3 linked regions of the Caenorhabditis elegans genome follow. The protein of the gene in region 1 purifies or fractionates together with the protein of each later gene. This does not show direct contact. Each region holds a gene or a part of one and is shown on either strand. Other genes may lie near its edges.

Evidence for each region.
Region 2: the proteins of iffb-1 (region 1) and egl-45 fractionate together in Caenorhabditis elegans (co-fractionation; one large-scale study listed by BioGRID). This does not show direct contact.
Region 3: the proteins of iffb-1 (region 1) and eif-2beta fractionate together in Caenorhabditis elegans (co-fractionation; one large-scale study listed by BioGRID). This does not show direct contact.

The regions. Positions count from the first base shown.
Region 1 is NC_003281.10:2,312,008-2,318,784, forward strand, and holds the start of iffb-1 (Eukaryotic translation initiation factor 5B), read left to right. Parts: upstream 1-2,428; 5' UTR 2,429-2,467; coding exon 2,468-2,511; intron 2,512-2,564; coding exon 2,565-2,700; intron 2,701-2,747; coding exon 2,748-3,347; intron 3,348-4,330; coding exon 4,331-5,059; intron 5,060-6,777.
Region 2 is NC_003281.10:7,822,644-7,831,427, forward strand, and holds egl-45 (Eukaryotic translation initiation factor 3 subunit A), read right to left. Parts: upstream 5,984-8,784; 5' UTR 5,946-5,983; coding exon 5,835-5,945; intron 5,783-5,834; coding exon 5,651-5,782; intron 5,556-5,650; coding exon 5,146-5,555; intron 5,091-5,145; coding exon 4,977-5,090; intron 4,881-4,976; coding exon 3,405-4,880; intron 3,106-3,404; coding exon 2,390-3,105; intron 2,325-2,389; coding exon 2,053-2,324; 3' UTR 1,734-2,052; downstream 1-1,733. Other genes in the region: E3 ubiquitin-protein ligase kcmf-1, read left to right, coding at 6,784-6,814, 6,859-7,050, 7,301-7,452, 7,511-7,608, 7,679-7,815, 7,885-8,150, 8,585-8,784.
Region 3 is NC_003279.8:8,025,219-8,030,984, reverse strand, and holds eif-2beta (Eukaryotic translation initiation factor 2 subunit 2), read left to right. Parts: upstream 1-3,192; 5' UTR 3,193-3,222; coding exon 3,223-3,237; intron 3,238-3,284; coding exon 3,285-3,387; intron 3,388-3,436; coding exon 3,437-3,523; intron 3,524-3,600; coding exon 3,601-3,957; intron 3,958-4,004; coding exon 4,005-4,195; 3' UTR 4,196-4,370; downstream 4,371-5,766. Other genes in the region: Alpha/beta hydrolase domain-containing protein aho-3, read right to left, coding at 1-4; C54G4.9 (RAP domain-containing protein), read left to right, coding at 4,466-4,776, 4,825-5,084, 5,134-5,516, 5,566-5,766. UniProt on the Caenorhabditis elegans protein: Component of the eIF2 complex that functions in the early steps of protein synthesis by forming a ternary complex with GTP and initiator tRNA.

The sequences.
Region 1 (6,777 bases):
GAGTTACACGTGTTTGAACAACCCAAGTTAATCACCTACAAACCGAAAACGAATAGAATATTGGCCGTCACTGTACATGTTGATTTCAATGATTTTATTGCAGAATACTCCATACATTTAATAATACAAAAAAATTAAATTAGCATCTTTTAACACTAACAAGGGAAGTGAATATAGGGGTCCCCGGACTTTGGCATGGCATAGTATTATTTCGATAAAATAGTGTTACCGATGATCGCTCCAAAAAATCTAGCTGCCCCGGTCCAGGTTCAACAAAGTTATGACGTTTTGAAATTTCAGTTAAAAACACCATTGAAATCCACTGTCTAACCATGCTATCCACGCAATTCTCAGCTTGCGTGACCACCGAAAACGTGACACCCACCACATTGAGTTGAAAAATGTCCTCGGTGGCCGAGTTGGGAGTGCGCGCGTCTGTTAAGAATGAATCTTTGGTTCGATTCCTTCTATTTTTGAAATTTTTTTGCAAGTTGAATAAAGTTGTAAAACAACTCATTCAAACATTTTTACGCATTTTTAAAGTGATTTTATTCTTATTCGGGAACCCAGAATCATTTTCCGCACTTTTTGGAAAATTTTATTTTTTTCATTTTTTCTCAAAATTTCTTGATCAACTCCAAGCAAAAATTTCAAAAAATTTTATTTTTCTAAAAAATTTTAAATTGCCATTTTATTGTTTAGAAATGTATGAAACGTATATTACACAAGTTTTAGCGAGTAAACCATCGAAATGATGTACATTTCATGAATTATGTGCAAAATATTTAACCAACTTCGAAGTTCCATAACTTCGTTGAGATAAATTATTTTGAAAAATGATCAACGAATTGTTTGTTGAATAACAATGAACAAAGTTTTAGTTATACACTTTCTGAAATATTTTGCCCTCAAGAAGTTGTGACTGTTTTCCCGAACCCAATGTTAAAAGAAAAACTAGCCAAATGTCAACCTTGTTTTCTTCCTCGTGGCTGAAGGTATCAAATAGTTTATAACTAAAACTTTGTTCATTGTTATTCAACAAACAATTCGTTAGTTGATCATTTTTCAAAATAATTTATCTCAACGAAGTTATGGAACTTCGAAGTTGGTTAAATATTTTGCACATAATTCATGAAATGTACATCATTTCGATGGTTTACTCGCGAATAAAGAGCTAAAACTTGTGTAATATACGTTTCATACATTTCTAAACAATAAAATGGCAATTTAAAATTTTTTTAGAAAAATAAAATTTTTTGAAATTTTTGCTTGGAGTTGATCAAGAAATTTTGAGAAAAAATGAAAAAAATAAAATTTTCCAAAAAGTGCGGAAAATGATTCTGGGTTCCCGAATAAGAATAAAATCACTTTAAAAATGCGTAAAAATGTTTGAATGAGTTGTTTTACAACTTTATTCAACTTGCAAAAAAATTTCAAAAATAGAAGGAATCGAACCAAAGATTCATTCTTAACAGACGCGCGCACTCCCAACTCGGCCACCGAGGACATTTTTCAACTCAATGTGGTGGGTGTCACGTTTTCGGTGGTCACGCAAGCTGAGAATTGCGTGGATAGCATGGTTAGACAGTGGATTTCAATGGTGTTTTTAACTGAAATTTCAAAACGTCATAACTTTGTTGAACCTGGACCGGGGCAGCTAGATTTTTTGGAGCGATCATCGGTAACACTATTTTATCGAAATAATACTATGCCATGCCAAAGTCCGGGGACCCCTATATTCACTTCCCTTGTAAATTCATAAATGTTGAAAATCGGCGGTGTACAATTAATCTCGAACACAGCATCATCGTTTGAAAACTCAAATGTATATTTAATGCCACCAGAATAATCTGGTTTGAATACTTTTGCGAGTTCAATCGGGTCCGACTTTGACATGTCCAATTTGATTGTGCAGATCTTGAAGGAACTTCTTTTCAGGAGATTCTGAATGTTTAAGGTGAAAACTTTAAATCTTAAGTAACATACATCTCTTAATTCAACTGCGTGTTGTGTTGAGAAGACATCCATTCCGACGGTAAACCGTTTTAAATGAAAAAACTGTTCGATTTGATCAACGATGCCATCAATTTCAATTATTTCCAGATGCTTCCATTGCTCTAATTGTGTAATCCGTGCAAAATTATCCATTCGACCAGGTCCTTCGAGTTCTAGATAGTCATATCTTTTCGTGTATTCTATCATTTTTCTCGTTAATTTCCGCTAGAAATAACGCTAATTTCGAATTTTTCGATTTTTTCACAAAAAAATCTGCAAAAAAAACTTTAATTCCGCAATTTTGCGTAAGCTTCGGTGTTTGCGGACTTCCAATTTTTAGCCTAATTTTGAGCCGATTTTCTTCGATTTTCCTCGTTTTTTCGCTATTTTCTTGAAAATTTTTGTGTAAAATCACGAAAAACTCAAATTTCAGACAAAACTCGCACAATTACGCGCAAAAAAGCCGCCGAAAATGCCGCCGAAGAAGGGAGGAAAGAAGAATAAGGACGATGATTGGTAATTCGGCCCGGTTTTTCGATGAATTTTCAATATTTGATTGATTTTTTCAGGGATGACGATGCCGCCGAGAAGAAGCTCGCAGCTTTGAGTGTGGCGAGCAACGCCGACGCTCAATGGGACGACGAAGAGCCGAAGAAGGCGAAAACCAAGGCAAAAGCGCCGGCTAAGAAGGGATTCGCCGCTCTGGTGATTATTTTTTGCAGAAATTACCTATAAAGTCATTATTTTTCCAGCTAGATGAGTCAGAGCCCGAGGAAAACTATTCTGAGCCGCCGGAGCCCGAGCCTGAGGTGAAAAAGGCCGCCAAGGTGCCGGAGAAGCCGGAGAAAGAGAAAAAAGAGAAGAAAAAGGCCGGAAAGAAGGGTAAAAAGGGAGAAGCCGACGAGGAAGAGGATTTAGATGCTCTTCTAGCTTCATTCCAGGAAAAGGATGGCCCGAAGGTGGCGGAAGTGGCTCCAGAAGCCGTGGCAGCTCCAGAAGCTGCTCCGGTAGACGACAAAAAGAGCAAGAAGAAGAAGGAAAAGCCTGTGGAGAAGCCTGAAGAGCCCGCAGTCGAAGAGGATTCGGATGGTGAAGGAGACGAGAAGGATCAGGATAAAAAAGACAAGAAAAAGCAGAAAAAGAAGGATAAAAAGAAGGAAAAAGAGAAGAAAGAGAAGGAAGATAAGAAGGGTGGAGCTGGAGCAAAGAAAGGAAATCTATCGTTGATTAAGGAAATGCTCAAAAAGCAGCAAGAAGAACGTGAAGAGCAGGAACGACTACAGAAAGAGCAACAAGAGCGTGATGCTCAGGAGGAGAAGGAGCGTCTGGAGAGAGAGCACGCTGAGAAGGAGGTGCTCTATGAAGAAAAAATCAAAAAATCGGTGGAATTTCAGCTGAAAATCATGAAAATTCGCATTTTTTCGCTCTGAAACAGAAAATTGCTTCAAAAACTGGCTTTTCCGCCGAAAAATCGAAATATTCGTGGAATTTCAGCCGAAAAACCCGAAAAATTAACCTTTTTGGCACAAAAAACCTGAAATTGGAATTTTTGGCTCAGTCTTTGTAAAATTGGGTTTCCGTGAAATTTTTTTTGACTTTTTCTCCTTGAAAAACCCCGATTTTTCATGGAATTTAACCTGAAAATATGGGAATATATTTATTTTGTGCGAAAAGTCACAAAAAATGACAACTTTCGCTGAAATTGGTGCAGAAATGCCTAAAATTCAGAAATAAAATTGATTTTTTGGAGGATTTTGCCATTTTAAGCGAAATTTTACAATTTTTTTGGGAAAAAAACCGAGTTTTCTTGCTCTAAAATTTAATAAAAATCGAAATAAAATTTAATTTTTACAATTAAAATGTTGAAAATTTCAATTAAATAAAACTAAAAATTGCGAAAATTTCACTCAAAATTATGAAATTCCTTTAAAAATTCCAATTTTTCACCTTTTTCGCAAAAAAATGAAATCTTGGGATTAAAAATCCGATTTTCCGTCAAAAATTCCCCAATTTTATTCAAAAATTGCTTTTCTAAAGCCATTTTAGCATATTAAAACTAGAAAAACCCCAAGTTTTCCAGCGAAATCCTCTAAAAATTCCATTTTTCGAACATTTTCGCAAAAAAAATTAAAATTTTGGGATTAAAATCCGATTTTCCGTCAAAAATTCCCCTATTTCATGCATAAAAATTCTATTTTTAATCCAAAAAGAGATTTTTTAAAGGCATTTTAGCATTTTAAATGAATAAAAAACCAAATTTCGAGCATTTTCGCAAAAAAATTCGATTTTTCGTCAAAGTTTCCCTATTTTATCAATTAAAACTCTACTTTTCCAGCGAAAAGAAGCGGCAAAAGAAGCAAAACGCCTTGAAGTCGAACGCCAAAAAGCCGCCGGAACCTACCAGACAGCTGCTCAAAAACGCCAACAAGCTCTGGCTCTGGAGAAGCTTCGAGCCGCCGGACACTCTGTTCCAGCTCCACGTGATTCTACGGAAGATGAAGCTGCTGGAGTTAAGAAATCATTTGTCTATGTTGATGAGAAGACGAAAGCCAAGCAGGAAGAGAAGAAGCGTAGGCGGTTGGAGAAGCTCGGACAGCTTCCGGTAGCTGCTGAAGCTTCAGCTGATGCTTCTGCTTCTGCTTCTGCTGAAGCTTCTGCTGAAACTCCATCAACTACTCCAGAGCAGGAGAAGACCCCGGAGCCCGTTGACGATTGGGAGATGGCGCACAGTGAGGATGAAGCTTCAGCTCAGAAGGAGAAGCCGAAGAAGCCAGCCACCAAGGCTTCTGATGCCGACGAGGATGACGACGAAGAGTCTTCCGACGAAGAATCAGATGAAGAATCGGAAGATTCTGAAGAATCTGAAGAATCTTCTTCTGATGATGATGAGGATCGTGGTGGACAACAGAAAGAGACGGTCGAAGAGAGAATGGAACGGATTAAGCTTCGAATTGCCAAGAGGAAGGAGGTGGCTCAAGCGAATCGGAGCACAGATAACCTCAGATCTCCGGTGATCTGTGTTCTTGGACATGTTGATACTGGAAAGACGAAAATGTTGGATACTGTATGTGTGGAAATTCTGACGAAAAAACACGGTTTTTTCATGGATTTTCAACAGAAAAACGGGGAAATTAGCGAATTTTTGTTTAAAAAATCGTGATTTTCGGCGAATTTTCACCCAAAAAACGTATTTTTCAACTGAATTTCCGCGGAAAAATTTGATTTTCAGCCTATTTTCCAAGAAAAAACTCACTAAAACGGAAATTTCACCCAAAAAAAAAAAGTATTTTTAGCCAAATTTTGACCAAAAAACGTGAATTTTATGATAAATACGAGCAAGAACGGGGTTTTCGTGGATTTTTAAGTGAAGAAAACACGATTTTTGTCCATTTTTGTTGAAAAAAAGTGATTTTCAGCAATTTTTTCAAAGAAAAATCTGGATTTTCGTCTGAAATTCACTGAATTGACGGAAAAAAAACAGTTTTTCACGGATTTTCCAGGGAAAAACGTGATTTTTTGCAAATTTCATGAAACTTTTGTGGGAAAAATCGTGATTTTCGTCAAATTTTTATCCAAAAAAACGTAATTTTCAAATTAAAAACGAGATTTTTGTCAATTTTCACTAGAGAAAAGGTGGTTTTCACAGAAATTTTAAAGTAGAAATGTGATTTTGAGCTTATTTGCAACGAAAAATCGCGATTTTTTGTTTAAAAAAACGTGATTTTTACCGAGGTTTTGTAGAAAAATCGTGATTTTTACGATAAATACGAGATAAAACACGGTTTTTTCATGGATTATAAGTGAAAAATGAGACTTTTGCCAATTTTCGTTTGAAAAATCGTGATGTTCGTCAAATTTTCACCCAACAGACGTATTTTTCAGTGGAAAAACGAGATTTTCACCAAAATTTTTCTACCAATTTTTCAATGGATTTTCATTTGAAATTCACTATAAAATTTCAATTTTCAGCGAAGAATCAAAAATAAAAAAAGCAATTTTCGGCAATATTTAGAGGAAAAAACCGTGATTTCCCTTCTATTTTCCAAGAAAAAGCTTGATTCCAATTGATTTTTATTTTTAAAAAAGGATATGGAAAACTAAAATCCACTGAAATCTTTTCCAGATCCGCCGAACAAAAGTCTGAGAAAAAAAAAGGATTTTATGGTTTTTCATCTGAAATTTACTATAAAATTTCAATTTTCACCAAAAAATCACCGAAAAAACCCTATTTTTCACTGAAAATCATCATTTTTTGCGCCAAATTCTCCGGAAAAATTGAATTTTCAGCAAATTTTCGTAGAGAAAACGTTATTTTCAGCAATTATTCAACAAAAAAAAACGTGATTGAATCAAATTTTCGAGAAAAGTGCAATTTGCAACAATATTTCGACGAAAAAAGTGATTTTTAAAAACACAATTTTTGTCTGAAATATCACCCAAAAAGCGGATTTTTCAATAAAAATATGGATTTTCATCCCAAATTCACTATAAATTTGCAATTTTCAGCAAAAAATCACAAAAAACACCTAATTTTCATTAAAACCCGCGATTTGGAGCAAAATGTATAGGATAAACCGTATTTTTAGCAAATTTTCGTAAAGAAAACGCTATTTTCCAGCAAATATTTAACAAAAAACGTTTTAAAAAACCCATTTTTCATCGAATTTTCAAGGAAAAAAAAATTGATTTTAGCTTTAAAAATGAAAAATTCACTAAAAAAAAAAGATTTTTTGCTGAAAATTGCAATTTTATAGTGAATTTCAGATGAAAATGCATATTTTT
Region 2 (8,784 bases), 5.5 Mb from region 1:
ACCATATCAATTCAATCAGAATTCTAGTGAAATGTTTAGTCTTCATTAGTTCAATTCTCAAATAGAAACTGCACAAATCTCTGACCCCATTTACAAATCAACCTAACTAAAGAGAGTACCCCGTCCCTTCCAAACACAACACCTAGTAATTGAAGCCCATGGCGGCGGGCGCCACAAAGTCGACGCCTAATGGCGTTGAAAAACAAGGTCGAACAGCACATTTCGTGTTAGAGTGAAAGAGAGAAAAAATCACAACGAATAACTACCTGAATCCGAAGTTTTATTCAGTTGGGGGAGAAAGTGAGGGATTTATGGATTACATGTAACGGCTGATTTGTACTAGAACATACGAAAAGTTAACCAAGAGAATTCTGACTTCAAGATAATATTAGCGTCATACGATAGTAGAAAATTTCTGGTGAACCCTAAAAACTCAAAGAACAAAGTTGTTTTACAGTAGGTTGAAAATTATTTAAAAATTAAAAATTGAAGGTCTCAATGTAACCAACAATTATTTGCCATAGACTAAACTGAAAGCCAAAAAGGAAAATTGTTTCTGTTGTGATGGAAACGTCATTTCGTTTGAGACCAACACGACCTGACAAGCCTATAATCAAGAAATTTCTTTTTTCCGGAAAAATGAAAATATGAGTTATATTTTACGTAGTAGGGGATTTCTTTGAAAATGGAGTATAGTCAATTGGAAAATTATTTTAAAAGCTGAAATTTTAAAGGAACAACGAAAAACTCGAGAGAGATCTAAAAACCTTGCTAAACTCCGTGTTCGAATTATTTCTACAATAAGAACTGGAAGACCAATTAGCGAATCGCTCCGCCCACTTTTGAACCAATCAGATTGAGTGGGCAAAGCTCGAAGTCACTGATTGGTCTTGCAGTTATCAGTTTGGAGGTAATTAAAACAGATAAAAATATATTCGGTTTTTTTGTGAATTTTTGTGAATTGTTCACTTTTTGTGGTATAGCTATATTTAAATTTCATGGAATTAGGGTACTTTGAAGAAAAATCCCCTTTGAACTGTACACCATTTTTTAAAATTCGTAAATCTCACAGATTGCTAAGAATGGTACTGTAATTTCAAACTTAAGTTGCTGTGGAATTTTCATTTATTTTTCATATTTCTTTTTAACTTAACATTAATAACACATACATTTTAACGAAGCGTGAAAAGAAACTATCAAAAATCAATGAATATTCCACAGCAGCGAAACTTTCAATCTACAGTAATCTTTAAAGGCGCACACATGTTTGTATTTAACAAAAATTGTCGTGTCGAGACCGGGGACTGTATTTTTGGGAAAAAATCACAAAATTTTGCGTGCGGGTAATAAAAACTTATAATATATCAAAATTGTGTTATATATATATGTTCAAACCATTGGTACGGTTTTACTTAGAAAGAAGGTAAAAGCAGGAAGCACATCCAGGAGAGGTGAATCATGAATACAACTGGTGCCTTCAGAAGTGTATGGGGCCACTGCTTGCTTGCCCCATACCATCTATCCTATTTTATTGTATTACCCCCCGTCTCCTCTCTGTCCACTCATGACGTCTCCGTCTCTACAATCAGCGTGCTCTCAGTGTCTCATTACGTCGTCTAAAGCACCCTCATACAGGTGCCCCAATGTGGCTCGTTTCGATGCGCCTCGGGCACTTTCTAAGTTGCTCTCGGACAAACGACGACACGCCCACTCGTTTAAGTCGTTCAAGTCGTCAGCTACATATGTCTTTATTCATATCATTACTCATAAATACTCAAACAATTGGGGTTTACGGAAAGATGGATGTGAAGAGAATATAGGAATTCTCAATGAGGGTCAACAGGGGATTCGGGGAAATTTAAATAACAACACCAAGAAAGTTAACGAAACAATTGATTATAGATGCGTGTGATTTTATAATTAGAGAGAAAGTGGGGGAAGGATAACCAAAACAGGAAAAAAGACAGAAAAATCAACCAGGATACTAATTTTAAGGACATTCGAGTAATTTCTGAAAATTGGATATGGAATCAGCACAAATTGAGCATGTGTTTATTTTCTCCAACTTCCACTATCGGCATTTCCCGTGTTTCCAGTGTTGTTAGACCGTGGTGGTGGTCCGTCACGACGAGGCAACGAGTTGCGGCCAGTTGGTGGTGGGCCTCGGAGTCCTTGAGCCCGGTCTGGTGGGCTTGTCACATTGGAATTTCCAGATCTAGCAGGAGCGGATTGTTCCTCGGAACCACCTGCTCCACCACCTCCTTGTCTGTTTCGAAGATGGGGTGGCACGAACCTCTTGGGTCCTTCCGATTTCGGTTCAGAAACTGAAAAATGATTATTTTTTTAGGTTTGTAGCGACAAATGTTTGAACAATAAAAACTAATCTTACCTGATGGGGCATCGGTCTTTGGTGGAGAAACGACTGGCTTCACTCCTCGTTCCCACTTATCCCCAGTATCAGCCTTCGATGCTGGACGGGGTGGATCATTGCGGCGAACATCGTCGTTGCGACGGACATCATCGTTGCGCCGGAACTCGTCGCTGCGGCGATCGTCAGGTTTACGAGTTGGTTGAGCAGAACTTCTCCAAGAGTTGTCAGTATCAGCTTTAGAAGATGGCACCTCACGGAATGGCTCTCTAGGTTCACGATCACGATCTCCACGGAATTCTCGAGGTTCACGTGTTGGTCCATCACGCATTGGTCTCGTTTCTCTTGGAGGCAAACTCTCACGTGGTGGGTTACGTCTCCAATCATTGTCTTGCATAGCAACCGAATTCTCCATTTCTCTACGACCACGACCATCATTGTGTTGACGACGTTGTCCTTCGATAACTTGGAGACGGGCACGCTCCTCTTCTTCGCGTTTCTTACGTTCTTCGGCAATCTTCGCCTGAATAGCATCTTCCTTTCGCTTCTTCTTACGATCCTCAGCACGTTCGGCAAGACGATTATTACGAACTGCCTCGAGCTTCGCTTGCCAATCAGACAACTTCTTCTCAAGAGTTTCCTGGTTGTCGATTTTCACCGACTCGACCCAATCAAAAGTAGCGTCTCGCACTTGATCCCACATTCCCCATAGTTTGACGTGTGAGTCATGAGCAGCACTGGAATATTATTTTTTATTACAATGAGAGATCAAAAAAAAGAAAGAAATCACTAATGTTAAAAATAGAAAAATTCTAATTTTCCAAATGAAACAACAAAATTATTAATATATGATCTAAATCGTGTTTATCGCAAAACTTTTGTGCATTTCATAATGCTAAGAACGACGAAAATCCTTCTCAAACTCAAACTTGCAGGAAAAGCAAAACTTAAGAGAAAATTTAAATAGACGCTTTCGGTTTTCTAAAATTTTAGTAGAATTTCAAAAAATTAACATTAATTGAAAAAAAAAACTTACATTTCCTTGGCTATTCTAGCCTCTTCGTATAAATCGTGAAGTTTTGGAGCTTCAGAGAGTCGCATATTCATCACTGCACGACGCTCGTTCAACTCTTCCAAGTGAAGAGCGCGAACATGATGGTCAAAGTTCTTCTCTTGTTGTTGCAACCGACGTTGAGTTTCGGCACGCTCCTTATCCAATCGTTCTCTCTGCTCACGCAGCACTTGCTCGGGATCCATGTCTCTGAATTGCTCGAGACCCTTTTCTTTGATAATTTCTTGGTAGATGGCGTTCTGCTGCATTTTGTAGAGCTGATCTTGCTTAATCTTCTTCTGAATCTCATCCTGTTCTGCTTGCTTTCTTTTCCGTTCGCTCTCCTTGTTCTGCTCATCCAATCTCTTCATCTCCTCAGCACGAGCTGCTTCCTCACGTTTAGCTTGTTCAGTTGCAGCCGCAGCAGTCTTTTCAGCCTTAACACGCTCCCAGTTCTCTTTGTAGTTCTCCAACATCTTCTTGCGACGGTGGATACGCTCGATTTCAGTTGGTCGGTTCTTTTCATAACTAGTGACCTGTCCTTCAATCTTTTTGAGAATCTCTTTGCGTCGTTTTTCGGCATCGAGTCCTTCAACGAGACCACGAAGACGTGTATACATTGCTTCAAGATGATTACGAACACCTTCCACTCCCAATTGAGTATCATCTCCAGTGAATCCTTCGTTGTTATCGCATTCATCGACTCCTCCGGCCAATGTCGCATCGGATGATCCAAAGCGAACACAATCAGCACGATGATCCAATTGAGCTTTCACAATTCTATGTTTGCTTGCTTCAACGACGAGACGCTCCAATGCCAAGTCAGAGTAAAATGGAATAATCTTTCGAATTCGTTCCCAGCTGATAGCTTCGTAGATGACAGATACTTGCTTCAAAGCCTTCACAGCAGCAACTGCTTGAAGAGACTCAACATATTGCAGATGGTCAGGGCGAGTGACAGTATCAAGAACAGATTGAACATCCTTAGCTACTTTTAATGGTGAGAAATTACTCTCAAGAAGCTTGTACAGATCCTTGGCGGTTTGTCCAGCAGCTTCTGGTACTCCAATCCGTGCGGCTTCCTTGAGAATTCCGTTTTTAGTTGGAGCAATTGGAAGACGAAGCAAATTTGAGAGAAGTCTCATGTTGGCTACATGTTGATCCTCAATATCAAGGTTGCGAGACAAATCAGATGGCGAATCTGATCCTTCTGGGATGGAAAGAGTAGCGAGAAGCACTCTAGTAGCCTGTTCTTGTGCTTCATCCTGTGTGAAAGACTTCTTCATATCTTTGTAAATGATGAACTTTTGAAGAAGGGCGGCGGCGTGGAACAAACTGTTTCCTGCTTTCCAGAACACCAATGCAAGTTTGTCATAATAATTGACATAGCTTGCAGGTTTTACCGTTCTCTTGTCTTTGTCTTTTGAAAGCTGCATCATTCCGTGAACGTCTTCTGCGCTTCTGAAAAAATAACATATAAAATTTGATTAAACAATCAATTCACTGGAAAAATAATCCCTCGCACATGAACTTTAAAAAAAAACAAGAAAAACATACTTGTAAGCTTCTTGCCAGAGCTCCATCTGAATCGCAGTATCCAATTGAATCAATCTGGTGTCTTGCATAAGACCTAGAGATTCTGGAGAAGTGAGTTTCACACGGAAAGAGTTTCTGAAAGAACAGAAAATATTTTAATTAGCGTTTACTGAATAGTGTCATCACTTACACATTTGGAGCATATTGGTGTTTTTGTATCTGATTCAGATGCATACGGAGGAGATCGCACAGCTTTCGGAACTCTGTTCTACGTTGATATCTGAGACAGAAAGTGAAAGAGTGGCGAGATATGGTGTGGTAGAGTTGTTCAACTTGGGCGTTGTTTCTCAACAATTCCAGACAATTTCTGTAAGAATCCCAGAGAAAACGGAGCCATGGTGCAAGAACAGTACGATCCATTCGATCTTGAGCAGCTGCTCCAGAAACAACAGCAAGAAGAAGGCGTTCAGGAACATCTCCTTGATCAAGATCTCCAATTTCTTCGACTTTTTCGATCGATTGTTTTTGAGCATCTTCAGTACGCTGCTCTGCGAGTTTCAAAAAATGCACCACAACTGTTTCGAGAGATTTCACATTGATCTGAAAATTAATTAATTAGCATGAATAATTTGCATTACTGTCAGTCAGAATAATAATTTTCTACTCGCAAAAGCAATCGTTAAAAAAAAGATAACCTGTTGAGTTAGAGCCTTGTATTGAAACAAAGCATCTTTTGCCAAGTGTTGTTTCTTCAGATCTACACACAATTCCATGTGCTTAATCATGATTTGTTCGTGAACAGTTGTCCATTGCTTGTGTCGTCTGGCCTACAACAATTGAAAATTCAAAGTTTCAAATTAGGAGCATTCTAAAGCCTACCTTGATAGTATCATGAAGCGTGTCAAGGGCATCGGACTCTTTTCCAACTTGAATGAGTTCTTCGGCGCGTTTCAATGCCGCTTCGGGCTTTTGAAAATAATTCGGAGCCATAGTTGTGCTCGGATTACCGCTGAATTGAGACACGAAGCCTGAAAATTGCGAAATGAAAAGAAGTTTACATTAAGAATCAATATTTTTTTTATAGAGCGTAATTCCAAATTCGAAATGTATTTTTAAAAAAAGATCACAAAAACGGTTCCGAATTTCAATTGGATCGATGTTAATTTGTACATTCACATTTTAATTGATCACTTTTTAACAGTTCGCCAGCAATTTAGCTATTACACTAAATTAAAAACTTCTTTAATATGTATTTACTGTAGAAGCTATGAAAATAGTTCAACTTTGCACATAGTACTTCAATAATCTAGACTTTTTGACTCGTTTTCAATAGAATAACATGTTTTCTTACGAGAAATCGATAAATTTCATCATTTTTGAGAAAAATTTGCACTATCATGAATAGAAAATTGTTTTCTATCATAATTTCACAACAGAAACATCAAAAAATTGCGGAAAACACTAAAAATTCGCAAAAGATGGCTGAGAATCCGACCGATCGGTTGGAAAATGAACGAAAAAAGGCTTTCGCGGCGAGACCTGCACGCGGAGAAAACTCTACGCGCCTTTAAAGCGCGAGTGTTATTTTCATCAGATATCCACAATGTTTACCCTTTCTTGCTAATTTTTTAAAGTTTTTCTTCAAATCAATGTTTAAAATCAATTGAGTTTTCCCAGTTCCACCTAAAATTAAAATTATAATATTTTATTCCACAATCACACTGAGAAAATCCACTTAATATAATCGATTTTTCCTGGCTGGTTTATTTTTTGCTGTTTTACAATACATTTAAACAATTGAATCGTTTTCAGCTTTCATAGTCGATTGATGGTGACTCCTCTTACTGGCACACACGAGGGTAATTGAATCTGAAAAGAATTACTAATATCTCCCTTCATTCAGGTGTATCGTGTGATGGGTGTGCTTTCACCGCGTTTGCTGGAAACCGTTACAAATGCCTACGATGCAGTGATTACGATCTCTGCTTCAGTTGTTTTACCACAAAGAACTACGGAGACCAGCAAACAATAGCTGATATCCCAATACACGACGAGTCCCATCCAATGCAGTTAATTTTGAGCTCTGTGGACTTTGGTAGGATTATAAATATTTACACATAACATTTGGTTTTATAAAAAATTCAAAGCTTTAATTTAATTTTATCGAAAAAAATTAACATTTTGAGTTTTTTTTGTAATAAATAAAATGACAAGTTTCATAGTTTTAACATAATTAAAACATCTATTATAAAAACATGGTGAGAGTGAGGATTTCAGAAAAATTAAAAATATATAATTTTCGTCCCCTAAAAAATTATGTTATCAAATATTAGTATTCTTTACAGACCTCGTATACCAAGGCGACCCTACGCGACATTATGACGAACGGAAAATTGTTTCCTTCACTTGTCCGTATTGTAATATAACAGGATTGACCGAACGGCAATTTGGGACACATGTACTTTCACAACATCCGGAGGCTCCGGGCTACAGTGTGGTAAGAGAAAATGCTAAACATAATATCCTTTAAATAACATTAATTTGTTAACGTCCAGATATGCCCGCTTTGTATTGGAAACACAGAGATGGAGCACATTCAATCGAAAGAAACTGAAAATTTGAGCGTACATTGGACAGAGATTCATCTTCATACGTAAGGCATACAAAAAACTCACATTTCCCAATATTTCTAAATATTTTTGAAAAATCACAAATTGTTACAGAATGGAAAACCTATTTCGTTCAACTGAACCAATAACTACTCGCCCAGTTCAGCGACGTCCAATGTTAGCAAGAAGAGGAAATCGAGCAGGAGTGTCACGAACAGCAGCACAAGGAAGGCCTTTACAGGACGAAATAGGTGCTGAAATGGCTGCTTTACTACGAAACATGGGTCCTGATTCTGTCGAAGATATCAGGCGATTTACAGAGATGATGACCGTACCGTTATTGCCTGGAATTCGAAGTTCGCAACGATTAATGACAAGTACTGGTGACCGACCGACTGTTGTTGTAGAAAGTGCCGTGACACATCAAGATCCGAATGTTCAGCAAGTCATAAGGCCATTGGCAACTATTCCGATTTATCCTCCGACTTCTGACGAATCAGGAGACGAGACTCCTCAGCCAGCAGCAGATTCTGCAGATGAATCAGAAGATGATAATGATATTCAAGAGTTGGATGACATGCAACCTGTGAGTTTTTCTCGAGAAAAATATAGTTTTTTCGTTTACTTGAATTTGTTAAAAATACCGTCAGTCGGGAAATTGCTAGAAACCAATTCGAGCGCTGAAATGAATAAATATAATATAACGTTCATTTAAATTTTCGAGCGAAAAAGCGATAATTAATCAGTTTTTGTAACTCTTAATTTTGAAACTCGACCATCAAGCAAGTTTTTAAAAAAATACTAGGATACCTGGAATGTTTAGATTTTGTTAGTGTATTTAGACACAATCCCCATTGGAACTACATCAATCTGAACAACATCGAAAAAATAAACTTGTAATGTTTATTTTAATCGTTTTCGAAAATATCCCGTTTGACGTCTTAAAATTGAAACTAGGTTAATCGAAGGATTAATCTTTACGAAGATTAAACAAATGCATATTTGACATTTCCAATTAAGATCGTCGAGGATGAAGCTTTAAAAAAGGACGAATTCTGGAAAACACTGAAAACAAGAATAAGCGAGGAAGATGTTGACTTGATACTGGAAACTATGAAATCAACTGCAAAAGTGAAAGAAGATATAGATGATAAGATGCCTGTTTGGACACAGCGTCCCTTAAAACGATTAGCAAATGCTGCTCAAGTGACGACTACGTC
Region 3 (5,766 bases), on another chromosome or scaffold:
ACATCTGAGTGGCACTGCAGGCCAATCTGAAATCAGAGAAATCGGTGGCAGTCACGTGGAAATGTGGAAGAGGAGGGAGTCGTGGGAAAATGAAGAAAGTAAAAGAAAAATAGAAGCGGGTAGAGTATATAGCTGAAGACGGCAGAAATGTATTGGTATCAACGAACGAAATATTGAAAATTAAAAAAATAATGGGTAAAAATTGAGAAATAATAAAGACCTAGATAGCTTAAAGGAGAGTTTCAAAAAATATGGATTTCGTTTTAGAATACACGGAATATTCTAATATATATATAATACCACAAAAGAAAAAATTTAAAAAATCGAAAATTTCAACATTTTCAAACAACACCAACGGAAATTAGCGAGAGTTTCCCATTTTCCGAATTCCACCTTCAAGTAGTTCAGTTTTAAAATTAAATTTTCAAAAATCAAACCAGAGCTGAATTAAGAAAAATAATTTTTCAACAATTTTGAAACGCTTTTGGTAATCAAGTATCACTAAATATCTTACAAGGCGTTGCCCAAACTATCAAATTAAGTGCTTGTTCAAAGAGAAAGAGAGTAGGAAACAAAGAATTCGTTTGTATTTGGTTATTGAGAGAAAAAAAGATGATGAAGAAGAAGAAGACGTACTGCATTTGACCTTATCTCATATGAAATGAGAATGAGAGCTCGATGCTTAATTTCGTAGATGCACATAGACACACATAAAAACGTGTATTTCTTGCTTTGCTCTTCGGAATGGTAGTGCATGGGACTGGAGGGAAATTGGATGCTGGAATGCTTCATCCGTCACTCACGATCCCGTTTGCCTATTTTCAATTTATTTTTTTGTGTTTAACAAAAACTAAAAATGAAATTAGAAGAGAACTGGGAGCATAGTGGCCGAGCCCATAACCATGGTGAATCAGCGATGAATGTTTTGTTTAAGAGAGAACATAGAGGAAGGAAAGACGCCGAGTGCGGCCACCTTATTACATATTTGTAAGAGTATTATCATTGTTCCGAAAAAAAGGAAGCCGAAAAGTGCGCGAGTTCGGACGATGATATTATGTATGCTTTTGCTAAAGAGAATAAAATTTGGAATAATAATAAATGAAGGCAATGAGAATTTTAAAGAAGAATAAAAGTTAAAGAAATAATTAGCTTCGTTATCTAAATTTCAATGCAAATTATAATGAGAAATATTAAATTTTTTGTGAATCTGATCTATTTTAGTAATGAAGACCACAACAGCCTCAAAATTGGATTCCCTAGGGCGCTCTCGAGAAAAAGGAAAGTACAGAAAATCTTAGGCTACTAAACCAAATTGGCTTCTGTTTTCTTTTCAGAAAAAAAAAGAAAAATGGAGTCAGTCGACAAACCCCTTAAGTGCATTGTACTGAATAGATAAGACACGTAGAAGGTGAGAGTAGCTAAATCATTCATGAGGAAGACATTCGGGAAGAAGCTTTCTGGAAAATACGAAACAATTTCCAAAAATAGTCGACCATTTTTTAATTTTCTCCATATACTGACGCAAAACTGGTGATAAGAAGATTGAACCGTTTCCGCTTTTAATGATACTGCAAAAACCACCATGATAGTGAAGAAGCGGCGTTGTCACTTTGTTTTGTTTTACAAACGTTGGTTTCACCGTCTTCAGAAACAATACAAGCATACGCTTTTTTTTTCAAAAAAAAAGAAAGAAAATAAACAACAAACTGAATCAACGGTAAATATGGTTTACGATGTTAAATGTTTTTAAATCAAAATTAACAAATTTGGATTGAGAAAACTGGAGGAAGAAGTAAAATAGATTGAAAACTGCAAATTCCTATTATTAAATTCACGGAACTGGAATAAATACCGCATTTAATATTCAATACGACCTCAGAAAACCTCAGAGTCAGACACACTTAACGAATTAGAAGTATTCTAAATTCGAATAAATATATGAAATTTTACAGTTTTGAAATATACAAATCTATGAGCGTAGTAACGAAGAGAATTTGCTGTTATGCGCGGCCGTGTAGAACGAGAGAGGGTCAGAAGAGCCAAGATGAAGCAGAGAGCAGAGACGACACCGGCGACCCGAGAGCAGCAATTCGTCGGCGATATGCCTGGCTGAGCCAACGAGTCTCCGGCTGCCAATCTCGCAACACTAAGAGCTCCGCCTTTCTTCTGCTCCAACGTCCTGCAACATCAACTTCTTCGTCCTTTTCTTCCGTTTTCCACACAAAAGCTGCGCTTAGATACTCATTGTCAATCGGTGAACCAATTCTTTCCATTGAAAGGATGCCATAACGAAGCTGATTGTTGTCAATTTAGTTATCCTCCCACTCCTCCTATCAGAACTGAAAAAGCTGAGAGCAACGAGGTAGGCACGAATTGGCCCACGTCACAAACTAGTCGGATTTGTGATGCGATGCCGACGGATTTGGTTGTTTTTTGATATGAAGATTGTTAGAGAAATGTATTTTTTCTGACTATGAGAAGTAAATGGCAGTACTAAGATCATATATGGATTCGCATGGGAATTATTTAATAGCAGATTGCTTCTTTTTTTCACAATGATTTTCCGTGAGACCGGTCCTGGCTAGTGAAAAACAACGAACATTGTAACGGCAAGTGGAATACAGAGACGAGAGTATCAATTATGTACTAATCAGTTCAAAACAATACATTAAAATAGATTTTAATATTTTTGTTAAACTTAACAGCTCAAAAGGATTCAGCGAAGATATATTTTTGCTTGCCAAGTCAGTAATTTTCAAAGGTGCGTCAGAACTCGATGTTAGAGTAGAAAATACTATCAATCATAGAAAAACGATAGAAAATCAACTAAAGATATATAAAATATGTCAATAAACTCGCATATTCTAATCTTATTGAACAAAATAAATAAATTCTCATTTAGAGAACAAAAAAAAAAAAGTGTTCACTCCTCGTAAATCTCCCCCAGCCTCAAAGAGAAATCGTGGCGAGACCTCACCACAGCCATTCTTCATGCGCCTTGAAAGTTTTCTCTCATTTTTTGCATTTCGCAACCCATTTTGTCTTTTAAAATAACTGAAACGGCAAATAATCTTCAAAACTTAGTGAATAAAATGTATTTTTAAATTGTATGTATATTACGAGATTCAAAATGCCTACCTTTCTTCATGAAAATCGTTTCGCATCTTCATTTAAATGATTTTTCAATTCCAGGTTTTGTACTTCAAGCAAAACAAACAAACTATGGCTGACGATTTGGTAAAGTTAATTTATCTCGTCTTCAAATTGAATTTATATTTCTCCAGGGTCTCGATCTCGGAAAAAAGAAGAAGTCTAAGAAGGTGATCAAAATCGATGGCGATGATGCTCCTGTTGAGACCGGCGTAGAAGCTGTAGAAGATGGCTTGGGTGAGCTGATGAAGATGTGTATCTGATTGTTAATTAATCAAAATTACAGGCGAGCTAAACCTTGGAGCTAAAAAGAAGAAGAAAACTCCAAAGACAGCCGGCGAAGAAGTAGTTGAAGAGAAAGTTCCAACTCTCGGTAATATATTTTATTACAAAGTTATAAAACTATAATTTTGCACAATACTCTTTCAAAATAAATAATTATGAATTCAGAAATCGGAATTGGAGCTCAAAACTTGATCGATGCAAAAGGGGCATGGCCAGATTACACATACGAAGAAGCTCTCACTCTTGTCTATCAGGTTATGAAAGACAAAAATCCAGACTTTGCTGGAGACAAGAAGAAGTTCGCCATCAAGCTCCCAGAAGTTGCAAGAGCTGGATCAAAGAAGACTGCTTTCTCCAACTTCCTCGAAATTTGCCGGCTTATGAAAAGACAAGACAAACACGTGCTCCAATTTTTGCTCGCGGAATTGGGAACGACTGGATCCATCGACGGAAGTAACTGTTTGATTGTGAAAGGAAGATGGCAACAGAAACAATTTGAAAGTGTCCTCCGGAAATATATCAGTAAAAAATAGAAATTTCCCAAAAATTGTATATTTTCTGTATTTCAGAGGAGTACGTAATGTGCCATACTTGCAAGTCGCCAGAAACACAGCTCACCAAGGATACTCGTCTCTTCTTCCTCCAATGTACTAACTGTGGTTCCAGATGCTCTGTTACAGCAATCAAGAGTGGATTCAAGGCTGTCGTAGGAAAGCGTGCCGCAATTCGCCGAGCCGAAGAAGCTACAGCTGGAAAGTAATATTTTCTAAACTTTACTCGGTTGTTATCCGGCTTTTTATGGGTTGGTACTTCTTTCCATTTTTCCGAAATTCTTGTTTTGCTTTCTCTTTTCCTTGTTTTCCCCGTATTTATTTTTATCCAGTTTCATTTCCTTTCTCATTCGATTCGTGTTTTGAGAATAAATTCGGCATAGTAAGTGTTTCAAATTTATTGAATGATTTGTTCTCACCTTTTTAGGTATTTTCCATGTTCAAGTTTAGTCAAAGGATCCCCAATATTTCAGCACCATATGACTAACCTTATGAGTGCATTGTCAAAACTTTCACAGGCTTTGGATTCCAAAAATATTGGAGAAGTTCTTCTCGCTCTTCAGAATTTCGATGAAGAATTCAGCGCTGAAAAATGTGAAGATGTCTTCGTTAGATGCTTACAAGAAATTATTTCATGGGACTTGACGGTTTCTCTAGAAATATCTGAAACGGTAGTTCGACAAATGATGAATCGATTGGAAAATCAAGCGGTGTTGGAAGAAATGTGTAACTATATAATCAAACAACAATCATCTGTCACTGTGGAAATTGCAGTGGAGATAATGATAGAGTAGGTTTTATTTTATTCAGCTTTTGTTCACTTTTTTTACTATTACAGGCACGGCTGGATTTTAAGAACAGATGATTGTAGAGAAGTCTGGAAACAAATCGAGTCTGCGAAAAATACTGAAAAAATCGAAATTCTCGCAAGAAGAATGACTGCAAATTGTAGAATTCTGAGGTTATCTGGAGCTCCGAAAAGATTTCTTGAAAAATTACTCAAGGATGTTATAATATCGCTCAATGCAAATAAGGTCAACATTCCCATGAAATTTCTAAATGAGCTCGCTATTGTTTCTCCCTTTCATCCTATCCTCGGTAAGAGCAGTTGTAGAATTAAATTTCAATTGAAAAATGCGTATTTCAGTGATCGAAGATTTCAAGAAGGACTCCGAATATTTTTATATTCCACACGTTGTTTCAGAAGAGACCCGATTCCATTTGGAAGTGAAAGAGTTCACAAATTTCTTTCAAATTGAATCAACTTATCACAAAGAACAAGCATGTCAGATGCTTCAAGTGTTTAATCAGATTTACAAACGAATGGAGCTTATCCCTCAATTGGAAGCTCCCGAAATTGATAAAATTGTAGAATTTTGGCTTGCTGCTCTTCGAATATTCAATGGATATGGAATTGGGATGAACGACATAACAGAATCAGCCAAGCTTTTAGAGAAAACAGCTTCTAGATATTCTCTCAAAAGCAGACCTCTGTTTCTGAAGCATTTTCTTAAAAAAATTTCCGAAAAGGTTTGATTTCTGTTGGTGTATTTTTAAAGATTAAAAATTTCTCATTCAGAAAGATACAAATATTGGTTTGGAACCGCAAGTTGTTGCAACCATCATCACAACTTACCAGCGAAATGCATTCGGCCTCAGGTCACCTGAATTTTATGAAGAACTTGGTGAATTTTGGGCACTGTGTTTGAAGATTAAATACGATGACGTTTATTTTGCAACTGTCTACTTCTCTGCTGTGTTCGCACTAGCTCAGGCACAA